Linked DNA regions of Mus musculus. The protein of the gene in region 1 purifies or fractionates together with the protein of each later gene. This does not show direct contact. Links are inferred from orthologs where the notes say so. Each region holds a gene or a part of one and is shown on either strand. Other genes may lie near its edges.

Region 1 (8,577 bases):
CTCAGCCTTCCTAACACTGTGACCCTTCAAGACAGTTCCTCATGTTGTGGTGACCCTCAACCATAGTTATTTTCATTGCTACTTTTTATCTGCAATTTTGCTACTTTCATGAATTGTAATATAATATGTGTGTTTTCCAATGGTCTTAGAGGGTTCCTGTGAAAGGGTGGTTCAATCCCTGACGGGGTCATAACAGCAGTTTAGAAATGCTGGCTTACATAGAAAAGAACATTTTCTTTTACACACACTCCCACCATGTTTGCTGGCTTCCCTCTGAGACTATGATTAGAGCACAGGTCCTCTTTCAGCTTATGCCCAGGGTTATTAAAGTATATGTGTATCAAGATCGCCGGGGAAGATTGGTTAAAATACAGCTGCTCATCATAGGGGTTTCTGATTCAGGCCTGAAACTGTTCTCAGGTGTCTTAGTTTGGGTTTTGTTGCTGTGAAGAGACACCATGACCAAGGCAGCTCTTATAAAGGCAAACATTTAATTGGGGCTGGCTTATAGGTTTAAAGGTTCAGTTCATTATCATCAAGGTGGGAAGCATGGAATCATACAGGTTGACTTGGTGCCGGAGGAGCCAAAGTCAATGTCTTGATCCAAAGGCAGACAGGAGAAGTCTCATCTGCACTGGGTGGAGTTTAAGCCTCAAAGCTCATCTCCACAGTGACATACTTCCTCCAACAAGGCCACACACCCTCCTAATAGTGCCACTTGCCATGAGCCAAGCTTATTCAAACCACCACATCAGGCAATACAGATGTTGTTGTTTTGATGAGCATTTTTTAAGAGCACACTACAGAGCTAGAGAGATGGCTCAGCTATTAAGAACACTGATTGTTCTTCCAGAGAACTGGAGTTCAATTCCCAGCAATCACATGGTAGCTCACAACCATCTGTAATGGGATCTAATGCCCTCTTCTGGTGTGTATGAAGACAGGGACAATGTACTCATATACATAAAATAAATCAACATTAACGAAAAAATAAAGAGCACACTACACTATGTGGTTCCTGCAACCCTCCTGTGTTAGGGAATGCTTCTCAACTTCGCAATCAACAATGCACTCAACAGTGCATTTACATTAATATGTACTATTATCTCATGTACATACAATAATATAGTATATAAACTCATAGGGATTTAGTACTTCATTCTGGGCATGATATGTGTCTCATGGAGTAGGTTATTTAATCTGTACCAACAATGTATAAGCAGGTACTCTTACTTTCACATATTAAAAATAGTAAATCCAGGCCAGAGAGGTAAGAGGGTTGCAACATTTATACATGCAGGAGCTCGTGTGAGAATCTCTCCATCTGAGCTTAGAGTTCATGTTCTAAGGCTCCATCCCAGAACTTCTCAGACTGCAACATAAATCACTTGCGATGCCTTGCATGACTGTACTTGGGGCACGATGGCAAGATCAGAGGCAATGACTCACACGGTGAGAAAGTGGATTGCTATTTTGGGTCTATTTTTCTATCCTTTCATGACATCACAGCAAAATGTCACTTGAGTACTGTGTCTTTATTATATAGGCATATAATATTTGATAATGTTTGATATTGTACCCTCTTAAGGAGGAGTTCATGATTCAGGGTTTAGTTCTGATCAGTTAGGGTTCTCTGGAGTCACAGAGCTTATAGAACGAATCTTTCTTTCATATGTGTGTGTGTGTGTGTGTAATGTATATGTATCTATAAAGGGTATTTATTGAAATGACTTATAGACTGCAGTCCAACTAATCTAACAATAGCTATGCTATCTGTGAACAGAAAGTCCAAGAATCTAGTAGTTGCTCAGTCCCACAGATTGGGTGTCTGAGCTGGTCTTCTGTTGATGCTGGAATCCTGAGGAAGAAGGCTCCAAGGCCAGTGAAGGAATGGATGTGCTACTAAGGCAAAAGCAAGCAGGCAAAGAGCAAAAACCTTTCTTCTTCCCCATCCTTATATACGCCCAGTAGAAGGTATGGCCAAGATTAAAGGTATGTGTGTCTTCCTGTTTCAAGATCTGGATTTAAGGTATGCCTTTCTATCTACCTCAAGATCTGGATCAAAAGCCTGTGTCTTCCCATCTCAAGATCTAACCAGGAGTATGTCTTCCCAACTCAAAGATCCAGACTAGAAGTGGATTCACCCACATCATACTAACCAGAAAAACCTCTCACAGATGCGCCCTCCCTTCTGGATTGTAGTTCATTCTAGTATACCCAGACATGGTATGGAAATGATTGAGATTTGAGAAGTCCTGCACCTGCCAACCTGTTAGTGTGTTCAACTGAACCAATCTTCAAGACTCTAAAGGAAAATTAGTTAAAATATACATTCTCTTTCAAGAGAGCAAGGACTTGGAGACATGTAAAAGAGTAATTTGGGGGGCGGGTAAAATATATGCTACTGGGGTATTCTGGGAATTAAACTTGGTTTCACAAAATGTCTAGCAATTTCTCGTGTTTTTATGGGAAATGTCGAATCATTTCTTTACATCGATGGTAGAAAAAGTAGTTTCAGTTCACTGGCAGATTTTACAGCTAAAGGACATCACAAGAAGTGGGGCTCTTAATCTGTGTGGGTAGGGAGGCCACGTGATAAATATATCCTGGGCTTTTGAGCTCTGGGTGATGAAGCTGGGGGTGGGGGCGGGGAGTTAAGAGAAGAGAGCTAGGCTGTAATCAGAGAAGCAGGCAGGCTTCAGGATGAGAAAAGGGGACATGTGCATCACTGACATAACGAACTTAAACTGTGACTGGGTTTAAATTAAGCAAGGTGTCCAGGGACTCCAGCTGTTGTATTTATTTTGGTTGCATGAGACGAGAGCTGATAACTCCGAGCCTGACACCCGATATAACTTAGCTGTCAGCTGCTAAACTCTGGTCAGGCCAAATCTACATCTCACCTATAGCTGCTTTATACAAACAGAATCAGAGAGCAGGGCGAGGGTCTGACCAGTGGTGGGCGGGTACCACGCACCACAGAGAACCACAGCAAACAAGCTCTTCGTACGTTTCTTTCCCTCGCTGCTATCAGAATTGCAACTGGTTTCGGATTTTCTTTTCTTGTACTTCAAATTGCAAATACTGGGTAACTTCTCACAGCCTTGGGAACCGAATTCTGCACCTCCATTTTGCTGGGGGGCATGCGGGAATGGAGGGAGAAGTGTAACTGCGCCAGTCCTGCGCTCAGCTCTCCACACCCCCTTCCCTTCGGGAGACCCCGCCCTTTTCTCCCAGCCAAACCACAAAAGGCCTGACAGTGGATCGGGCCTCGGCGCCCCGCCCCCGCCCAAACGTCGCAGTGCTGCAGGGGCGGGCGCAGGGCCAGAGAGGGGGCGGAGCCAAGCGCGTCTCCACTCTCCTCGGCCAATCCGCGAAGGGCCTGGGAGAGAGCTTGCAGGCGCCAGGCAGAGAGACAGCCCCAGTTATTTTCCCTTTTTCTGCCACGTCCAACCATGACGTAGGCCTACTTCTAGGACTGCGATTGGATGCGTGCTTTTCCCCCTGCAGAGGGCCGTGAAGTCTATTGGCTGCGCCCTCAGGGGGCGGGGCTAAAGCGCTCCCTTCCTCCGCCTCCTTCGCAGCGCAAGGGGCGGGACGCGCCGCCGCCGCCGCCGCCGTCACCACCTCTGCTTCCGCCGCCGCCGCCGCCGCCGCCGCTGCAGCCGCTGCGCGTTCGGCGGGGGAGGAGTCGGAGGCGGAGAAGAAGGCGGTGGTGGCGGGTGGAGGATCGAGCGCTGTTCTCGCTCTGGAGCCGCTGCACATCTCGGTGAGGGCAATTTTTATTTTTTTCTCTCTCCATTCTGGCTGATTCTGTCAGAGCGGATCTGGGTGAGGGAGCCGCTGCCCAGGCGCCTCGGCTTCGGGGGTCTCCGAGGAACGGACCGAGCCGTGGCCGGCCATGGTGGGTGGGGTTGGCGACTGAGAGGCCTCCGGCCATCCCGCCCGGGGCCGCGCTCTAGCCCGAGCCGCCGCGCCCGCCGCCCGCTCGCTCCCGCCGGCTGTCTGCTGTCCTTGGTGCCCTGGTCAAGGACCCGGCGCCTTGCCCCTCGCGGCCCGCCAGTGCCGCCCACCCTCAGGCCCGCCGCGGAGGACCGTGGCGCACTAGGCCTGCGGGGCCCCTGCCCGGCCCGGCACGGCACGCCTTCCATCCCTGCCTCCCGGATTTGCGTCCTCCCCGATTGTCACCGAGGCCCAGGCACCCTGTCAGGCAGTGCCAGTGGCCTACCGTCTTCTTGGTCAGCGTTAGGCCCCAGCACGCCTGTCAGAGGCACCTTCAGGGCTCCCCTCCCCGCCCCCACCCGCACCTCCACCCCCACCCCAAGATGCCTCCAGGTTTATCATTTTTTGCGCACATTAAAAATGGTGAGTTGAAAGCTGCCCAGACCAAGTTGAATAAAATAAAACAAAAAAAAAAATTGTATGTCTACATAGACAACTGCTTTGACGATCCTCATTCTGTCAAGTATACGATTCTTTTTTTTTTTTTTAAAGAGGCCTTACTCTATTTTTATCACGAAATATTTGCTATTATTTCTTTTAAGATGGCAGTCATTGCTGAAGACTTAACAGGTCATTTGATGAGTGTATACAGGAACGTAAAAAAATAACAGAAATAAACGTAACATGTTTGTGATTGTCTTCTGGATTTCATGTCTTTTTATATGAAATAATTTTATTCTTCTATTACAGACATGCACCCTCCGTGTAAAATTCAGCAGTATAAAGAGAGAAGTATTAAATAAATACTAATATGTGACTATTTTCATCCTTCAGTGCCCCACCAGTATTTCGGTTTGGTGGTCATCTTTCCAAGTGCTTTCACAAACGCATCTTGAAAGATACACACACATGCAGAGTTGTCTCCTTCAGGGATGGGGGTGAGGGCTATGCTGAGCACATTTGTGTAAAGCTTGCTTCTTCTAATTATATATCTTGGACATAGACTCCCGTTTTATGTAGGCCTCCCTAATACTTTTTCTATCTAAGGGTACATCCTATTTCTTTAATTTGATGGACTTTAATTAAGTATTCCTACTGAAAGCCGTTTCAGTGCTTGCAGTTGAAAGTTATGCTTTATACTAAAGGTAACTAACTCACGTATTGATTGATTGATGCTGAACTGTAAGCTCTGAATCGTTTATTTTAGAACATTTCACGGTGTGGAAGACTGTAATGTAAAAAGAGCAGCCCCCACTTTGCCTTCTAGTATATTGCCTCTATCCCAAGACTCAGACACTGTTTTAATAAGGGGGAAAAACCTGTGTGATCATTTCTGGAGCACAGATCCAGACGTACAGTTGCAGAAGTAAAGGGTATGAGTATTTAAATCTGACAGCCATCTAACCCTTATTATTACTCTTTTTAAAGATATTATTACTATTTCCTGAGTGTTTCTTCTAGGTGGTCTTCAGACCACTTGTGAGTTAAAATTTAAAAACCCTATTTTGAATAAGATTACACATAAATTCTTAGAACTGTTTTACAGTCTTAAGCCCCTCCCCAAACTGTTCTCACCATTTTATTCACATCTTGCTTTATATTAAAGCTTTAGTTACCCCTCATATATATCATTCCTTTTCAATATTCCCAGCTCCTTTATAGTTGTATTGCTGTAGTAGATGAAAACTTTAAGGTAACTTTGTTTTCCTGTCTCTGGCAATAAAAAAAAGCTTTTGATCCTTGCCACCCCCCCCCCCCCCCGTTTTTCATGGAGCTAATATTTGTATTTACTTGACAATTATCTGAAAGTATTTTTTTGGTTTCCTTTCCAGTTTTTATGACATTCTGACATTGCATTGCCCCTTAGGTGCTACATATTGTTGAGTAGTAGGGCTAATGCTACTAAGACTAGGGCTAATAGTTAAAATATGTCACTTTTTCTTTAAGGTAAATGCTTCTGAGGTTAGCATTAAATATGATTTTTCACAAAGCTTTTTAATAGTCAATATTAGGTTAAAATATGCCCTTCTGTTTTTAGCTTGCCCAGATAATGTTTTTGTTCTTATTTTTAAAAACATTTACTGAGCGTGTGTGTGCACATGTGTGTTGTTACAGCATGCTTATGGAGATGAAAGGACAACGTATGGGAGTTGGTTCTTCTGTCATGGGCTTCAGGATTGCATAGTGTCAGGCTTTGTGGCAAGCACCCTGACCTACCTGCTGCCTCTCTGGCTCCTCTTGCTGTCATTCTTAATATTTATAAAAAAGTAGTGGAGGTTAAGTTTTTTTTCTTTTCCTTCTTTCTTTTTTTATTTTTTGACATCTTTTCAACTATATATATGGTTCCATTTGGGTGTCACTAGTGGTTCTTATATACTAGTTCCTTAAAAGAGATTATCTTTTCAAAAAGTCAACTTTTTTAAATTAGAGAGTAAATTAGAATTAATGAAATGTACTTACTTAAGATGTACATCTCATTGTGTTTTCATAAAAGTATACTTTTATGTCTCTCTCTCTCTATATATATATATATGCACACACATTGTGTGTGTGTGTGTGTGTGTGTACATATAATATATAACATAGGACAATATTTTCACCTCTCTGAAAACTTCTATTCCTTTGAGGTCAACCAGACTTTGACCCTGAGCCCCGGGAAACCACTTACCTTTCTCACAGTATACATTGTTTTCCCTTGGTCTACTATTTCATATAAATGTAATTATTTCTTTTGTATCTGCTATTTCCCAGCATCATGCTTTTGAAGACCATTTGTGTGTGTGTGTGTGTGTGTGTGTGTAAAACTAGCTTCTGTTTTTTGTGAAGTAGTTCATGATAGTTGTTGATTTACTACTGTTTTAGTCATTTAATCAATGTATTTGGGTTGTTGCTGATTTGGGGTTGTTATTAATAAAGGTGCTGTGAACATTTATTCTGAGTTCTTATGTGAATTGAAACATTTTTTAACCTGGAAAATCTCTAGATGTAGTATTTATTGACTTATATAGAAAATGAATGTTTAATCATTGTCTCATGTTCCTTGTCTGCCAGTGACACACAGCAGTTTGCCTTACCCACACCCTTACACCCTTCTAGTATATGTATAGTAGTTTTACTATATCACACTGGCTTTTATTTTTTGTTCACATGTTTGTTATCTTGGTCTTTTCGAAAAGAAATCTGTTTTGTAGCTGAGGCTGTAATGAACTCAAACTATGTAGTTCAAGCTAGCCTTGAACTCTTAATCCTCCTGCCTCAGGCTTCTGGCTTCTGGGATCATTCCTGGGACGCAGTGAATTTTAACTTATATTTACTGGATGACTCATGATGCTGATAAGCTGGTCTGTGTCTTCATTTGTAAATGCTTTCTTCAGATCTTTCAGCCATTTTAAAACTCAGGTTATCCTAATGAATTTTAAAGCTTTTTAAATATGTTGTTTATATGGCTACACTGACAGACATGAAACACACATTTCAATATGAAGGTTTTTATGTTTTCTTTATTTCCAAACTATAAACAAGAGGAGGAGCTGAAGAGATGGCTCTGCAGGTAAGAGCACCTGCTGCTCTTCCAGAGGACCCAGTTTCAGTTCTCAGCACCCACATTGGTCTGCTCACAAATGCCTGTAACTCTAGCTCCATGGAATCTAATGTTGTCTTCTGGCTCCACAGGTACCTTCACTCATGTGGCAACACAAATAATTCCTTAAAAAGAGCTTTTAATGGGAATTAATTTGGCTAATGAGCTTCTTTTTTTTCCCCTTTTCTTTTTCCTGTGCTTCTGTGCTCTGAGGATTCTTTACCAATTGCAAAGCTGTACAAGTTTCCTCATGTTTTTGGCTATGTATTTAATAGTTTTGGCTTTTACATCACGATGCGTTACATATTCTGAGTTATATTTTTGTTTTATGATGTGAGAAAAGGTTTAAGGCTTGTTTTCTTATCCATTGGCTATGTCGTTCTAGTTCCATTTGTCAAGAACATTCCTTTTCTTATTCAGTTAAAAGTTAGTATACTAAGACCACAAATGTGATGTGTTTCTGGACTGTCCCCTTGATCTCTATGCCTGAAATTTTGAAAATACTAGATTATAGTGGCATTTACTTTGTAATAATTCTTGAAATCAGGAACGTGAACTCCTGAGCTCTCTTTAAGCATCACTTTGGCTCTTGGCAAGATGGCTTAGTGTAGTAAAAAGTGCTTGTTTCTCAAGCAGGAGGCCTGTGCTCCAGTCCCTAGCACCCACGTAAAAACTAGCCTCATGTGGCCATGTGCTTGTGATTCCTGCACTGAAGGATAGAAACAGCTAGAGCAGAGGCAGATGGCCACCCAGGGTTGGCTAGCCATCTACTCTACCCTATCAGTGAGCTCCAGGTCCCGTGAAGAGACTCTGTATACACACAAGGATACATAAAATGAAGCTCAAGAGAAAACGTTACCTGAGTTGACACCTAACCTTTCAACTAGAACTTTGTATACTGTTAATTAGAAATGGAGATTGTTTGCTATAAAAAAACAGTATTTTCACCCTTCAATGCAATTTTGTTGTAGCTTCTTGACTAGTAAACTTTGCATTGAGAAATTTAGTTTCTTAAAGTCAGTTTTTTTCCCTGAGTGTTTTCTCTGTTTCCAACT
Region 2 (7,113 bases), on another chromosome or scaffold:
TGCCTTCCGAGTGCTGGGATTAAAGGCATGCGCCACAACGCCTGGCCCAGTTTTTTTTTATGGAGTTTAATTTCTTACAAGAATTTTTAGGTGGTCTTAAAATATTTGCTCATTTTTTTTCCTGGTGCCTGTATAGTGTTAAGGAAAGCAGCTGCACATCCTGGAGTAGCATCTGCCTTAAAGAAAGATACAGGGTTAAATAGGCTGACAGTCTCCTGTGACTGTTTTCTAAAGGTTTAGTTTATGTATATGAGTACACTGTCCTTGTCTTCCAACCTCTGGAAGAGCAGTCAGTGCTCTTACTGCTGAGCCATCTCTCCAGCCCCCTTCCTATAACTTCTTAAAGTCACATAAAATTGCCATGGACAGAATGTGAACCTGCTTTGGTTACAGGTTGTCCACGTTAAGGTTTTAACAGCTATCATTAACATTTTGTTGTTCTCGGCAGGTATGAATACCACTGGGCAGATGGCACTAATATTAAAAAGCCAATTAAGTGTTCTGCACCAAAATATATTGACTATTTGATGACTTGGGTTCAGGATCAGCTTGATGACGAAACTCTTTTTCCTTCTAAGATTGGTAAGTTAACCCCGTGGAGCAGACTTTCTTGTGAGTGATGACTGCAATCTTTAAATGCGCTATTACTTTACATCAGCTTAACAGAGAAGGCCGCATCTGCAAAGAACTTGAATCCATGTATCCCCCCAGCTTACCAACTTGTTTTCTTCACACCAGTTAGTACTTACTTTTTAATCTTTTCCAGTTTGAGTACATTGGATCTGTTTTAAAATAAAAAGTATTTTATGTATGTGGTGTGCGTGTGCCACAGCATATGTGTGCAGGTCAGACAACTTCTTAGATTTGATCCTTTTACCTTTACATGGTTTTTTAATCTGTGTTTCAAGACAGGGTCTTACTATGCAGCCTTGGCTTTCCTGGCATTCACTATGAGACCAGGCTGGCCTGGGATTCACAAACATCCCCCTAACCCTGCCTCTGCCTCCCCACTGGTGGGAATAAAGGTGTGTGTCACTGTGTCCAGCCTTTACATGAGTTTTGAAGATCTAATTCGGGTCATTTGGCTTTCATGGAAAGCACCAAACTCACTGAGCCATGCCACTAAACCTGAACTTTTTTTTTTTTCCCCCGAGACAGGGTTTCTCTGTATATAGCCCTGGCTGTCCCGGAACTCACTTTGTAGACCAGGCTGGCCTCGAACTCAGAAATCCGCCTGCCTCTGCCTCCTGAGTGCTGGGATTAAAGGCATGCGCCACCACACCCGGCTCTAAACTTTTGTTTTAATGTCCATCTAAAAATACTGACAAAGGGGCCAGCATGATGGCTCAGTAAGTAGAGGTACTTACTACCAAGCCTGGTGGCCTGAGTTGGATCTCTGAGACCTACATGGTGGATGGAGGTTGTCCTCTGACCTCCACATGTGCCTTACAGCACGTGCATAGATACATGTCTGCTCTTGCACACACACTGATGAGATGAAATACTTTTTGTTTCATCACGTGTTCTGTTCTGTTTATGTCCTTTGTCTGTTATAGGTGTTTGGTCTTTGTCATACAAGCTGTATGTTTTCTTCCCCTGGGGTACCTTGATCTTATTCATGGAGTGTTTTGCAGTATACACTTCTCTTATTTTGCTCAGCTCCTTTAAGATGTGGGTTGTTTCATTGTTGCTTTTTGTGGTGCTAGGGATTGAAGCCTGGCCTCCTGTGTGCTAGGTGTGTGTTCTGCCCTGAGCTCTTTTTGAGCCCCCGATTACATTTTGTCAGTGAGAAAGTTATTACTTCTTTTGTGGTTGGGCTTAGACCCAGGGTCCCTCACATGGTTGAACTTTACCTTCTTCTAAGTTACACCCCAACTTCTCCATTTCTTTTTAAAAATGTTGTGCTAGGAGAACATTTCTGTTTTGCTACTATGTTTGGTTTTGGTATGGTACTGAGAAGTGAAGTCAGCCTGCCTGCAGTTCCTGGGCTCTGCGTGGCTTCTTCCCAGATTCTTCCTGCCCTCCTCGGTGGAGTCTGAGCAGAGGCACTGCTGGGAGAAACACATCAAGTGTTTGTACTTAGGCTGGAGTTGGGGAACATGGTGGAACATACCTGCAATCCCAACACTCCTGAGGCTGAGGCAGGAGGATTGCTGGAAGTTCAAGGCTATTCTGTGTTATAGAGTGAGACCTCATTTCAAAGAAACAAACAAAACAACAAAACAAAAACCCACCAGATTTGACTTAATAACATTTGTCTTAGTTAGGGTTTTACTGCTGTGAACAGATACCATGACCAAGGCAAGTCTTATAAAAAACAACATTTCATTGGGGCTGGCTTACAGGTTCAGAGGTTCAGTCCATTATCATCAAGGTGGGAGCATGGCAGTATCCAGGCAGGCATGGCGCAGGAGGAGCTGAGAGTTCTATCTATGTCTTCATCCAAAGGCTGCTAGTGGAAGACTGACTTCCAGGCAACTAGCGTGAGGATCTTATACCCACACTCACAGTGACACACTCATTCCAACCAGGTCACACATATTCCAACGAGGCCACACCTTCAGATGGTGCCACTCCCTGGTCCAAGGATATGCAAACCATCACAACATTCTTCTATTAAACCTTGTATTTCCTTTCTCACAGACAATTATACGTTCATTCTATTTGAGTATGTTCTATTAAATTCAGTTTAGCAAGTACTTAGATTAAAGTTGTTCACATATTTACCAAGTTATTTTTATGAGGGAAGATCTCATTTAGCTCAGTTTGGCTTTGAATTCCCTGTGTAACTGAGTATGACCAATACCCCATCTTTCCATCTCTAGCTCCCTCTTGCAGAGGTTATAAAATCTCACCACCATGCCCAGCAGAATCCTCCTTTCTCCTCATCCTCTCATACTACTGTAATGGTTCTGGGTTCCTTTACTTTCCTCCTCATTAGGCTGTCATCAGTGTTGTAATGTTTGCTTTTTTTTTGAGACAGGGTTTCTCTGTATAGCCCTGGCTGTCCCGGAACTCACTCTGTAGACCAGGCTGGCCTCTGTATAGCTCTGGCTATCCTGGAACTCACTTTGTAGACCAGGCTGGCCTCGAACTCAGAAATCCGCCTGCCTCTGCCTTCCGAGTGCTGGGATTAAAGGCGTGCGCCACCACGCCTGGCCTTTAACATATCTTTTTAAAAAAGATTTATTCATTCATTTATATATTTATTTAGTTATTTATTTGAGACACACCAGAAGAGTGCATAGGATCCCATTACAGATGGTTGTGAGCCACCATGTGATTGCTGGGAATTAAACTCATGACCTCTGGAAGAGCAGTCAGTGCTCTTAACCACTAATCCATCTCTCCAGCCCCCTTAGCATATCTTAAGTCATTAGCAAGATGGGAATTTTAAAAGAAAAGATGTTAAACCTGTATTTTTGCTATTTCATATTAAAATTCTGCTCTGAGAAACCAGTCATAAACTTCAGTGTAATGTTTGAAAAGTAATTTTAACCAAGACTAGGAAGAGTTGGGAATACCATAAAAATATATAAGATGAGCCGGGCGTGGTGGCGCATGCCTTTAATCCCAGCATTTGGGAGGCAGAGGCAGGTGGATTTCTGAGTTTACAGAATTTCTGAGGGCCAGCCTGGTCTACAAAGTGAGTTCCAGGACAGTCAGGGCTATACAGAGAAACCCTGTCTCAACCAAAAAGAAATATATATATAGATACAAGATGTATTATATCAAGCTTCTAAGGGCTGACTGAAGAAAAAAGTAAGATGCAAGGTAGGAATGCTGTTAAAAGCCTCCATTTTCCAAGAGGTTCGAGGGTGTTTAATTTAAAGTATGAGGAACTGGTTTTTGAAGCTGACTTTTTGTTCAGCCTGGGACTCACTGTGGAGTTCATGGACTCTCAGAGATCCACCTGTCTCTGCCTTAAATTAAAGACAAGCACCACTTGCTTGCCAGGCATGTGCCTTCTTAGTTTTTCTTAATGTTGGTTTATGTAGCTAGTACTGGCTCGCTGGCATTCTCCTGTCTATAAAGGAGTTGGTTCTGTTAGCCAAACTTGTACAGAGTGTAGCCACTCGCCCCATGGCTACTGCTTGGAGAGTTTTCTACTCCTCCCAGTTTTTCTCAAGAGGTATTTCTTTTTTTCTGAGAAGGAAAGAGGCCCCTTTCTTCTGTTTCAGGAAGGATCACTCCCTTTTTAGGATACAGGAAAATGAAGACTTACTTTCCAGAGTAATGTAAAAGATGAGATATTCTCTACCTACATAGATGATGGTAAAGACTTGATACCACTTAAATGTGGTATCTGTTTAGGATACACATTTGTTTAGGAAGTTCTCCATTCCTAAATTTTTTTTCCTATTACAGATGACAAAAGTGATAATTTATAATCAAAGTGTGTATTCTTGTTGCATTTGATCTTAGAGAGACACTCTGATATTAAACAACCAACATGTTCATTTGAACTGTGATCCAGCAGCCTCTATCCCTATACTACTGTTGTAGACAGTGTGGTGTGTGAAGAATACTTAGTTTGGGATTTCCCTTGCTTTGTGAGTGTGTAAGCTTGTGTGCTACAGTTGCTTTGGGTAGCATCAGGACTTGCTGCATTCTGATTTGATAAAAGACTTATAGGCGTGTATTCGATTACAGGTGTCCCTTTTCCCAAAAACTTTATGTCTGTGGCAAAGACTATTCTGAAGCGTCTCTTCAGGGTTTATGCCCATATCTACCACCAGCACTTTGACTCCGTGATGCAGCTGCAGGAGGAGGCTCACCTCAACACCTCCTTTAAGCACTTTATTTTCTTTGTTCAGGTAGGTGAGTCATTGATCTCTGGGCCTTGGACTTAGACCTTGATAACTTAGTAAAAATTATCTTATTTATCGATGTAGAAAGTGTAACTTTAAGCTTTGTTCTGTCCCCGTTTTGTCCTCTTCACCACACTGTTTCATTGATTCATGAAGCAGTATAGAAGGGCAGTGTCTCTGGGATGCAGAGGTGGCTCAGCAGTTAATAACACATACAGTTACTGCTGAGGACCTAGGTTCAGTTCCCAGAACCCACATCAGGAGGCTCACAGTAGGCCGTAGGGATCCAGCATCCTCGTCTAGTTTCTGCAGACACATGTACGCATGTGGTTCACATAAACTCATGAAAGCTCATGTATACAACTAAAATAGATAACTGAATCTTAAAAAAAAAAGTGGGGGTGGGGGAGGCAGCATCCCACTGGGGCCTGGCTGCCTAGGGCTTTCCTTGGCCATCGTTGGCCTGTGAGCACTAACAAAATTAGAACTTTAAAATATCAAATAAAGGTATTTGGAAAAGAGACAAAGAATTAACAGACCATGATGCCACATCTCTCTTATCCTAGCCAGACCTTGTTTCAAAAAACCAGAAAAGAAAGCTGGAGAGACAAATGGCTCAGCAGTAAAGAGCACTTTCTGCTCTTGCAGAGGACTTGAGTTCATTTTCTAGCACCTGCATTGGGGAGCTCACAATTACCTTAGCTCAAGAAATCCTGATACCTACTTCTGTTCTCTTCAGATACCCGAATACGTATGGCAAATACATGCGCCTGCAAACACACACACACACACACACAGATTAAACTATTTTAAAAAGCAGGGAAAAAAGGACTCCTCTTTAGAGCTAGGCAATTCTGATGTAAATTATCATTTTATAGTAGAGAACACTGGTAGCTTTTTAGTGATTATTGTGTATTGTGGCTTTGTGTACAGTGTAAAGGCTATACCAACTTAATGTTTTTCTTTTTCCTTTTGAGACTGTATTCCTTTTATGTGCACAGTTATGTATGTTCATGTGTATGTATAAAAGTAAAAGCTGACTTCTCATGAGGTAGCTGTTATCAAAGGCTTAGTGTGTCATTTTCAGGTCATTTCTGTATAAACTCATATATTTTATTTTGGTGTTTAGCACAATGATGAGCTACAGTGCCTCTCATCCCCCACAGTTGGTTAAGAAGGGAGCCTGATGTCCCAGTATTGTAAAAGTCACGAGTCATGTGTTGGTCTTTCTGGGGCCCAGACACACCTGGTGATCTTACGGGTCACCAGATACTGTTGATACTATAGAGATTCCAGGATTTTAGGAGCTGTGTGTCAGGAAATGGGGAGGAAGACCAGCATATGTCATAACATATATGTATGTAGGTATGTGTCTGTGCATGTGGCTACACATATAGATGGAAGCCAGAAGTCAGCACTGAGCATCTCCCAACACTGGGCATTACTGGTTCAGCTAGACTAATGGCCAGCAAGCTCTAGGGATCCTCCTGTGTCTACCTCCCCAGCACCATGGTCACAGTACTGTGTCTGGCTTTCTTGTGTGACAAGCATTTTCCTTACTAAGGAGCCTTCTCCTTAGCCTGCACTTGTTTTAAAAATGACTAAAAACAGTTATTTTATATATCATAAAGGTCATTTCTTTCAGATTTCAGAAAGCTAGGTTTAGGAAGCTCATTTCTGAAAAGTATGTAAGAGTTTCAATTTTGGTTCATTATTACATTTTTCTTTTCTTTTTAGGAGTTTAATCTGATTGATAGGCGTGAGTTGGCACCACTTCAGGAATTAATTGAGAAGCTTGGATCTAAAGACAGATAAATGTTTCTTCTAGAACACAGTTATGCTCTCCTTCTATCTACTGCTAGCACTCTCTCATTGCTGTCTGGTATGGACTAAATGATACTGACTACAAGAAACCAGGATCAAAAGATCCATTGTGTTTGCAGAGAAAATTGTCCCAAAGGTAGGTTGGCCAGATAGCTTCAGAACAATCCAACGACAACAGCTAAATCCGAGGTGCTGTGTGGCCACCCTGTTACTGCTAGTGTCCTTCTTTGTCTTAGCCCATGACTAACCTGTAGTTTGTTGCTGAGCTTTGTTTAAGAAAATGATTTTTCCCATGTGACAGCATAATGGACATTAAGAATTTTCAGCAGCAACTTACTAGTAAGTTTCTAGAACAAATGTCTTAACACAGATCAGTTTGCTTTGTTTTACAAATCAGTGGTGTTCTGTTTCTAAATCCCATCGTTTAGAGCTTCTGTTTTACTTTGGTTCACATTTGTATACTGATGTTTTATACGCA

The links. The genes of interacting proteins can lie anywhere in the genome.
Region 2: the proteins of Pja2 (region 1) and Mob1a purify together in Homo sapiens (affinity purification with western blotting; 3 studies listed by BioGRID). This does not show direct contact. The link is inferred for Mus musculus from reciprocal best matches to the Homo sapiens genes PJA2 and MOB1A.

The regions. Positions count from the first base shown.
Region 1 is NC_000083.6:64,326,988-64,335,564, reverse strand, and holds the start of Pja2 (E3 ubiquitin-protein ligase Praja-2), read left to right. Parts: upstream 1-3,681; 5' UTR 3,682-3,769; intron 3,770-8,577.
Region 2 is NC_000072.6:83,333,628-83,340,740, forward strand, and holds part of Mob1a (MOB kinase activator 1A), read left to right. Parts: intron 1-448; coding exon 449-582; intron 583-4,653; coding exon 4,654-4,817; intron 4,818-6,548; coding exon 6,549-6,626; 3' UTR 6,627-7,113. UniProt on the Homo sapiens protein: Activator of LATS1/2 in the Hippo signaling pathway which plays a pivotal role in organ size control and tumor suppression by restricting proliferation and promoting apoptosis.